Schizosaccharomyces pombe: one gene and its partner. The protein of the gene in region 2 interacts with the protein of the main gene of each other region in a pairwise test. Each region holds a gene or a part of one and is shown on either strand. Other genes may lie near its edges.

What was found.
Region 1: the proteins of sec31 (region 2) and tnr3 interact in a two-hybrid assay, tested with the Schizosaccharomyces pombe proteins (one large-scale study listed by BioGRID).

What each region holds. Positions count from the first base shown.
Region 1 is NC_003424.3:1,317,195-1,321,122, forward strand, and holds the start of tnr3 (thiamine diphosphokinase Tnr3/ Nudix hydrolase fusion protein), read right to left. Parts: upstream 1,785-3,928; 5' UTR 1,609-1,784; coding exon 1-1,608. Other genes in the region: Rho GDP dissociation inhibitor Rdi1, read left to right, coding at 2,652-3,269.
Region 2 is NC_003423.3:1,397,737-1,401,664, forward strand, and holds the start of sec31 (COPII-coated vesicle-associated protein Sec31), read right to left. Parts: upstream 1,902-3,928; 5' UTR 1,773-1,901; coding exon 1-1,772. Other genes in the region: TIM23 translocase complex subunit Tim50, read right to left, coding at 2,682-3,928. UniProt on the Schizosaccharomyces pombe protein: Component of the coat protein complex II (COPII) which promotes the formation of transport vesicles from the endoplasmic reticulum (ER).

The DNA of each region.
Region 1 (3,928 bases), on a different chromosome or scaffold from region 2:
ACAAATGCGATCCTCAATATTCCACTCAAGGCCGCTGGTTTTTTTAACATACACACTCTGTCCTACTGGCAGAAGACCGCAATGTAAACCAATGTTGTCGTGACAATCAACATGATTTATTCCGGGTTGAAGCAAAGTTGATACATTCAATTCAGTTAATAGAAATACTTCATTCTTTTCAGAAATCGAGGCGGCCCAGAATAGATGGTTTAAATTACCAATGGCATGATCAACTCTTCCACCCATGCCACATAATACAAAAATAGTATCAATCCCATGTTCTTTAATTATTTTATGGCATTTCATAAAGTCAGTGGTGTTTTGGCATGGGTCGAATACAATGTTGACTCCCATTTCTTTATAATAAGCTTTAGTTTCATCTGTTAACGAATCAAAGTCACCAACGACATAATCCGGTTTGAGCGAAGAATCGTAATTTCTCAATTGGTTAGCACCACCGTCTGCGCAGACTCGGATACTAGCTCTTTTCCATAAAGTACGAAATCTATCATCCGGTATATCTATGGGTTGATTTAATAGTAATACCGCAAACTTTTGATCAGTATCATAGTCACGTAACCAAGCCTTACATGGAGCTAGCTGATGAGTGGCTTTTTGGGGTTTTGCAGGAACACACGTTTCAGCTTTCTTTGAAGTATCTTCAAAAGAATCCCCTCTTTCATATTTTCCAACAGGAACAGGCAACGGTCTATGTATCCGTTCTAAAGTTTGGAGATACTGAGGATGCTGTGGAGTAATGATACCATGACGGATTAAAAAGTCTAAAAGAACCAGAGCACAATTTGGCTTAAAACTTTTTAATTCAAGTTCATGAAGTACTTGATTCAATGGTAATAAACTGAAACCAGCGACTTCTCCATCATTAATTCTTGGGATAACAAGATCATCAACAGGTAAATCGAATACATATTGTAACTCGGGCTGAATCCAATGCCTTTTCTCCATTTTGATGTAGGAGACAGTGCCACAAGGAATAAGATTCATAGAAGAAACGTCCAAATTAGCTTCTTCAGAAAATTCCTTTATCATAGTGCCTATGACTGAATCACCATGAGCAATTCCGCCGGCAACGCTATTATCTAAATAATTGGGCCACGTTTGTTTAGTCGGTGATCTTCGTGGTACCCAAATACGAAGAGGATGTTCTTTAGTTGCTGGAATATACATGGTACAATGCACACCAGTGCTCAAAAAACCGAATAACCAAAATCCGCCCCGTTCAACGGCCAATACAGGCTTTTTAGATTTTCCATAAACAGTATATAATTCATTCCTCCATTGATCAGCAATTCCAAATGTATTGTTATGGCGCCAATGCTCCAGTACCTTAGCTAAGATGTCAGTTCTTTTTTCAAAAGTAGATGCGTTTATTTCAATATACTCTCCTGGAACATAAACCCAATTGAATTTGAAATTATCCGCCTTTATGAGGATTTCTAGTACCAAAGGGGTAACATATCCAATGGCAGCGCCATTTGCACGGAAGGGAATTGTTCCAGGAACAAATTCCCCATTAAAAGAATCGCATTCATCTAAAAGCTCTTCGGCATTTAATTGTTTAGCAGAGGTGATAGACGACATTGCCATTACCTTGCCCAAATTTTCCTCTCAAATGGATAGTGTTCTAAAATAAAACAGGAATAAAAAAGGCTAGTGTATTTATGCGAAGGAGACACTTATGGTTCAATTCAACATAAATAGAATAATATATAAAACACCCTATACTAGCAAATGGTAAAAGCTCAAGGAAACTGGTTCCTGGTAGTAGAAATCGGGTAGTTGACTAAAACCTTATCGTATAACGAAATGCTAATCTATTAAACCCCTTTCAAAATGATCTTTAAAAACAAAAAAGAAGTTGATATTAAACAAACAGTACCTTAATCAAGGTAATCTAGTAATTGTCTTTCAAGAGTGTGGTCTACGAGGAAAATTACAATGGGAGCAGAACTCCGTGCCAGGAATGTCTTGGTATTAAAAATAATAGCACACAGATTGGCTTACTAATTTTCACTTTAACACCAACCGCCGTTTTTGTAATTAATTAGGGTTTGGTATAGTTAAGCGTATCTTTCACATGATTTTTATTTTCAGTGGACTTCCTTCGTAAGTTTTTTAATAATAATTCCTGAAGTGATTGATAATTTTTCCGCTAAACGTATCAAATCTGGTTGTATAATAGTTATCGACTACAGCTATAACTTGCTGCTCAAACAATTTCATGTAAAGAACATCTGCCTACAGAAAAGCTAGCATAGAAAGTTCCTTCTTTTTTACGTCTCATAAGACGTCAATGCTTGGGATTACTCCAACATATTTACATGTATAAAAGCATGGATAATGACACTAAAAAAAAAATCGAAGGGAATAGAAAGAAAAAAAAAATCTTATACTTTTCTCACGCTTTTCTGCATCTCCGTTATATTTAAAATAATCCAAGTCACCGAAATGTTAACATAGTAGTACATCTGGTTATATTGTTGAGATAGCAATATGCTATGTTCCCTTTGCCAATTTCAACTCTAGAACAGTACATTAACAAAACAACGAATCTGAACTTTTTTTATAAAAACAAATTGTCCTTGGTTTAGCTACTGGCAGATAATTAAATTCTATTGCGTTGTTTTAAAATGAGTGTTAACAATGAAGTATCCGCTGATCAACATAACCCTGAACTAGAGGATGATACATTTGAGCATGGACCTCCGGTTTCTCTGGGAGAAAAGAAATCACTTAATGAATATATGAAGATGGATGCCGAAGATGAATCATTGCAGAAATGGAAAGCATCTCTGGGTATCACGGGAACAGGTTATTCACCCTCGAATGATCGTAGAACAGTTGTTATTTTAAAGCTGAGTTTACTTGTTGACGGCCGTGACCCAGTTGATGTTAACATGGAAGATGCAGCAAGTGTCGAACAAATCCGCAAGAAAGGGTTCACTATTAAGGAAGGAAGCGAGTTTAAGATTGGTGTTAAATTTCGTGTACAACACGAAGTAATTTCAGGCTTAAGATATGTCCAAACTGTTCGCAGACGTGGCTTTGTTGTTGACAAAACATCTACCATGATTGGCTCCTATGGACCTTCTGAAACACCTTATGATTTTACCTCTGAACCAGATGAGGCACCTACAGGTATGCTGGCTCGCGGACATTATGAAGCCAATGGAAAGTTTGTTGATGATGATAAAGTGGTCCATCATGAATTTGTTTGGGCTTTTGACGTTGCAAAAAGCTGGAAGTAGTCATTATTTATGCCAGCCTTATTTTTTAAAATCGTAAATTTCAAATCTACTTGGTTATTCAAAATTCTCGGTATTCAGTACTATAAAGAAATTTATAGTGATGTTTTGTTACAAAGCAAACATTTTCCTTTTTCTTACCAATTTCTTTCACATATCGGTGTCTGGACTACAATTGAATATGGTAATGACGATTTCTTACCACCTTCTTCAGTGAAACTTTACTTCACCCAAATATCTCGGATTGTTTGGAGATTGCCTTTTGTTGTGCAAATTACTTTTATAGCTTACATATGATCTTCACATATTCCCCTTTAGCAATCTACGTTGTTTCTTTTAAATCTCGTTCCAAAGCTTACAAATGCGATATTTTGGAAGGATATATACATCCGACTATATTCTTTTCACTGAAATTATGAGTTTTGAGATTTTGATTAAATTTTTCCAAGTATCTTATACTTTTCCACTTTTCCTTGTTGTCACCAAAGAAGTACATAGAAAACAATACAAATAGCTATTAACTAGCCTGATTAGTCCCTTTGATGGGAATTACTAGAATACTATTGTAACGGTAATAACTCATTCTTAAACTCATTTCAACGTATCTCGCTCGACTTTGAGAAAATCCTACATAGTGCTTGAAACTTAACTTTTTATTTTAA
Region 2 (3,928 bases):
CCACCAAAGGTGGATAAGAAAAGTGCTTCAGATATTTTTTTCTCCTCAAGGCAAGCTTTCACGGCCGATAAAACATCACCGGTAAGAAGCGCCTCAGTGATGTTTTTCTCTAAGTCAGAATCTTCTGGATTGAAGATCTTAAATGAATCTTTTACAATCTCAGCATCCTTCTTGTCAGCTATAGATACTTCTTGCACACTTTCGGCTAATTTCCCATAAAAAGAGGAATCATCATCATAATTCTCATTATTAGCATTCTTTGAAAGTTCATTAGGTGTTGTTGAATCCTTGGCAACAGACTCGTCTACCTTGCTGTCATCCTCATCGTTTTTTGGTTTTAATGTCTTATAACCCAAAAGTTCAGCAAACTTAGACCTAGAAGCGCGCTTACTGACGGCCATAAGTAGCTTCCAATTTATGGCCTCCTCTTCGGAGGCGGATTCTTCCACACCTTTCTGACAAAAATCAGTAATTTCCTTTTCAGTTTGAAATTTGGCGGAAGAATGGAAGGACTTAGCTTCATCTTGCTCAACTTCATCGGGAGCAGAGGTTATAGTGACCTCTTTAGAATTTGGCGAAAAACTAACGATCTTGTTGGGGAAGCCAAATCGAGCACCAACAGGTACTTTAAACCACTTGGGAGCAAGAGGTAGTGAAAACGAAGGTTCTTGTGATCCAGCAATGGAGGGCAAATTGTTAAAAAATTCGTTATCATCTATGGAGGTAGCACCTTTAATAGAGGCTTCTTGACTCTTGTCGGTGTTTGTGCTTTGAATTGAAAAGATAGATACCTTACCCTCCAAAGAAGCGACAGCAACACGATTGGAATTAGAAGGACACCAAGAGCTTTTTGTATACCAATTACCAGAACGAGGAAAACTGCCCAAAGATTCGCCAGTTTCAACATTCCAAACCATAGCACGCCCATCCTTTCCACTACTTAGCAAAAACGTTGGATCTTCAGGGCACCACGAAAGAGAGAGTGCAGCCTTTTGGTGTCCGGTAAGGATGTTTTGAGGAACAGTAGGTTGGCGTAAATCCCACGTTAGGATGATGGGGTTTCTATTATCATCAATAGCAGTTGCAAGGCGAGTGGCATTATTAGGGTGCCAAGCAATACTGTTAACCGCTCCGGTAGCTGCGCTAACACCGGCGGCACCCAAATATGATAGATTCAAGACTTGGCGTTTAAGCTTAACGTCCCAAACGGTAGTGTATTCAGTAGCGTTACCAGAAGCTAAGATATGTGAAACTTTGTTATTCCAAGAAACCACATGAACTTCGGAGGAGCGATTTTGTTTTGGGAGAGCGAAAGGCTGTTGTGGATGCTTGATATCCCAAACCCAAACATCACCTTTATTATCACCAGAGGCTAAAAGATTGGGTTGTAATCTATTGAAATCAAGAGGGCCGAGAATCGAGCCGTTTTCGGATTTATAGGTAGCAATTGAAGCGGACGCTTCATCTGATTTCAAAATAGCAGCAGGATCCCAAAATCCAATACCGCCATCTTCTAAACTACCAGCGATTACACCCATGGGCTTATCTAACGATTTCTCCCATGCTAAATCGTAAAATCTAGTCTTCACGTCGATAGATCCAACGGGTTTTTGTGATTCAGGATTTTCATTCCACAATTCAAGCAAGGTGTCGCTGTTTTTAGAACCCTCCGTCCCGGTATATCCTCCTAACGCTAACAGAGCTTGGTTATCATTCACCCCGCGGGGCGACCACGCCAACGTAGCCGTTTTGCTTATATCCTTCAGTCTCATAACTCACACCAACTTGTGAAATATTGTAAAAACTCCTTTTTATCCTGTTTCAACTATAGTATAACAGGCGAGCTAACCCGTTTTTTGTTTGGTATGATGTGTGGGCTCTTAAAGTGGTTGGTTCTTAGTAGTTTCTTTTAATACATATAGTCCACATGTGGTAGTAGTAGGCTAAAGGGTAGCATAGGTAACAAAGGATAATACACATAGTGCAGTACATAAAGCTTTCTTTGGAACTCAGTGGTAAATTCTCACTAAAAGTAAAAAAAAAATAGATGGACAATATTATTATTATTACGAAAATGAAGGAAACCCTTGATTGATGCTTATATACAAGAATTCATAGATACCCTGTTTTGGTGGAAATTTACATAGTCAGTCAAATTTTTAAATAGGATGACCCAAGAAGGTAAACACTTTAAGTGCGCAGTATAAAGGAACAAAAACTCGGAAGACCAGCGTATTCCCAGCATGGTCCGTACACAAAAAAAACCAGTAAGGAAAAAATTAAAAGAATACTTTTTTGTAGGTTGAATTGAATATAAGAAGTAAATTTTGAATAAGATTTCGAATTTGCACCAATACCCTTGGAAACGTAGGAGAAATGAATTAGAAAGAACGGAGCTTGGGTGGAGAAAAGGAATCCAAAGTACCAAAGCAAAATTGTCGTCCTGTAAAAGAAGTATTAAGACATGGGCATGAGACAAAACGAAGCCAAAATAAGCAGAATGATACGACTTGAAAGTTGTTACATTTTCTCATAAATTAGAGAACAAAATAAAGCGGAATACCGCATTGTGTCAGTCAGCAACAAGCACAAGGGACGTATTATTGTTTAATTTTTCCTTTTTCTTATTTCATTTGAATGTTCTTCAGGAAGGAAACGCTGACACGGGTTTCATCGAAAGCCTATTTGGAAGCATTTGTTTCGGGTGAAAATTGTTGTTGCTGCATTTGTTCTAACTGTTGTTGCTGAACCTCTTCTGGATGGAAGAGAAGATTAAAGATGCTTGTTTTTTGTTCAGCCTCTCGAGCCTTTTCTTCTTCAAGCATTTTAGGTCCATTTTCGTCAATATACTTTTTAAATTCAGCATAAGCAGCCTTTTGTCGCTCACGCTGTATATCAATGATTAATTTGGGTGGCTCTTCAGATACACTCCGTCCTCCAAACAAAAAGGAACTGCCTTTCTTCTTCTTCTCATTCCAATCTTCAATTAACTTGGTGCGTAGTTTTTCCTCTCTGCGGGCATACTCAAGGGGAATGTTTTTACCTTGATAACTTTTAAGAACTGGACGAACGTCTTTAATATCCATGATAGCAATAAACTCCAAAAGAGGAATTAATCCGACCAATTCCTTATCCTTAGGATTTCCTGTCCATGGAGCCATGGCAATTGCGTTATCAGGCTGTTTGGACCATGACTCGGGATTCGTATCGATCATGATCACTCGAGACAGGTCACGATTCAAGTAAGATAAATCTTTGATAACCTTACCCTTCTCATATTTGCTTGACTCGCGAGTAAGTACGGCACTAATACTTACGTGGTATGGATCAATCTTATCGATGATAGGCTTGGCAGTTGCTAAATACTGTCTAGTAAAGATGACTACTTCGTAGTACATGGAGAGATAGCCCAAGAAGTAATCTAAACCAGGACGCTTTGCAGTTCTCCAACCATGTTGACGAGTCCATTCGCTATGAATCAAAAGATCATCCAAACTTAAGACCAAGGTATAAGGTCGATTATAAGGTTCAGGAAGAGGATCAGGGAGCAACTTTTCAAATGCAGGCTCCTGATAGTAAGAGAAGAAGTTATTTGTACGGGCCTTTACCCTATTCCACCAATCTGAAGGGGAATAACCAGCAGCGGGATACTGCTTTTCTAGTTCTTTCTCATCAGGACCATAGCGACGACCGTAGTAAAGTAAACCACCTCCCGTTAATCCCAAGAAACCCCAAAATGCATAACGAGCCTGCTTTTCTCGCTTTAGCATCGTTGAACTAGTATACTCGGGTCCTTTTCCAGGGTCTCCAGTGTAGGACTCATCATTCAAACCATTTAAATCAAGTAATTTTAATGACTCTTTCGCAAGTGAAGAAGTGTCCCGTTTAACTTCTTCTTTTGCGTTTTCGGTGATTTTTGATGTGTCCT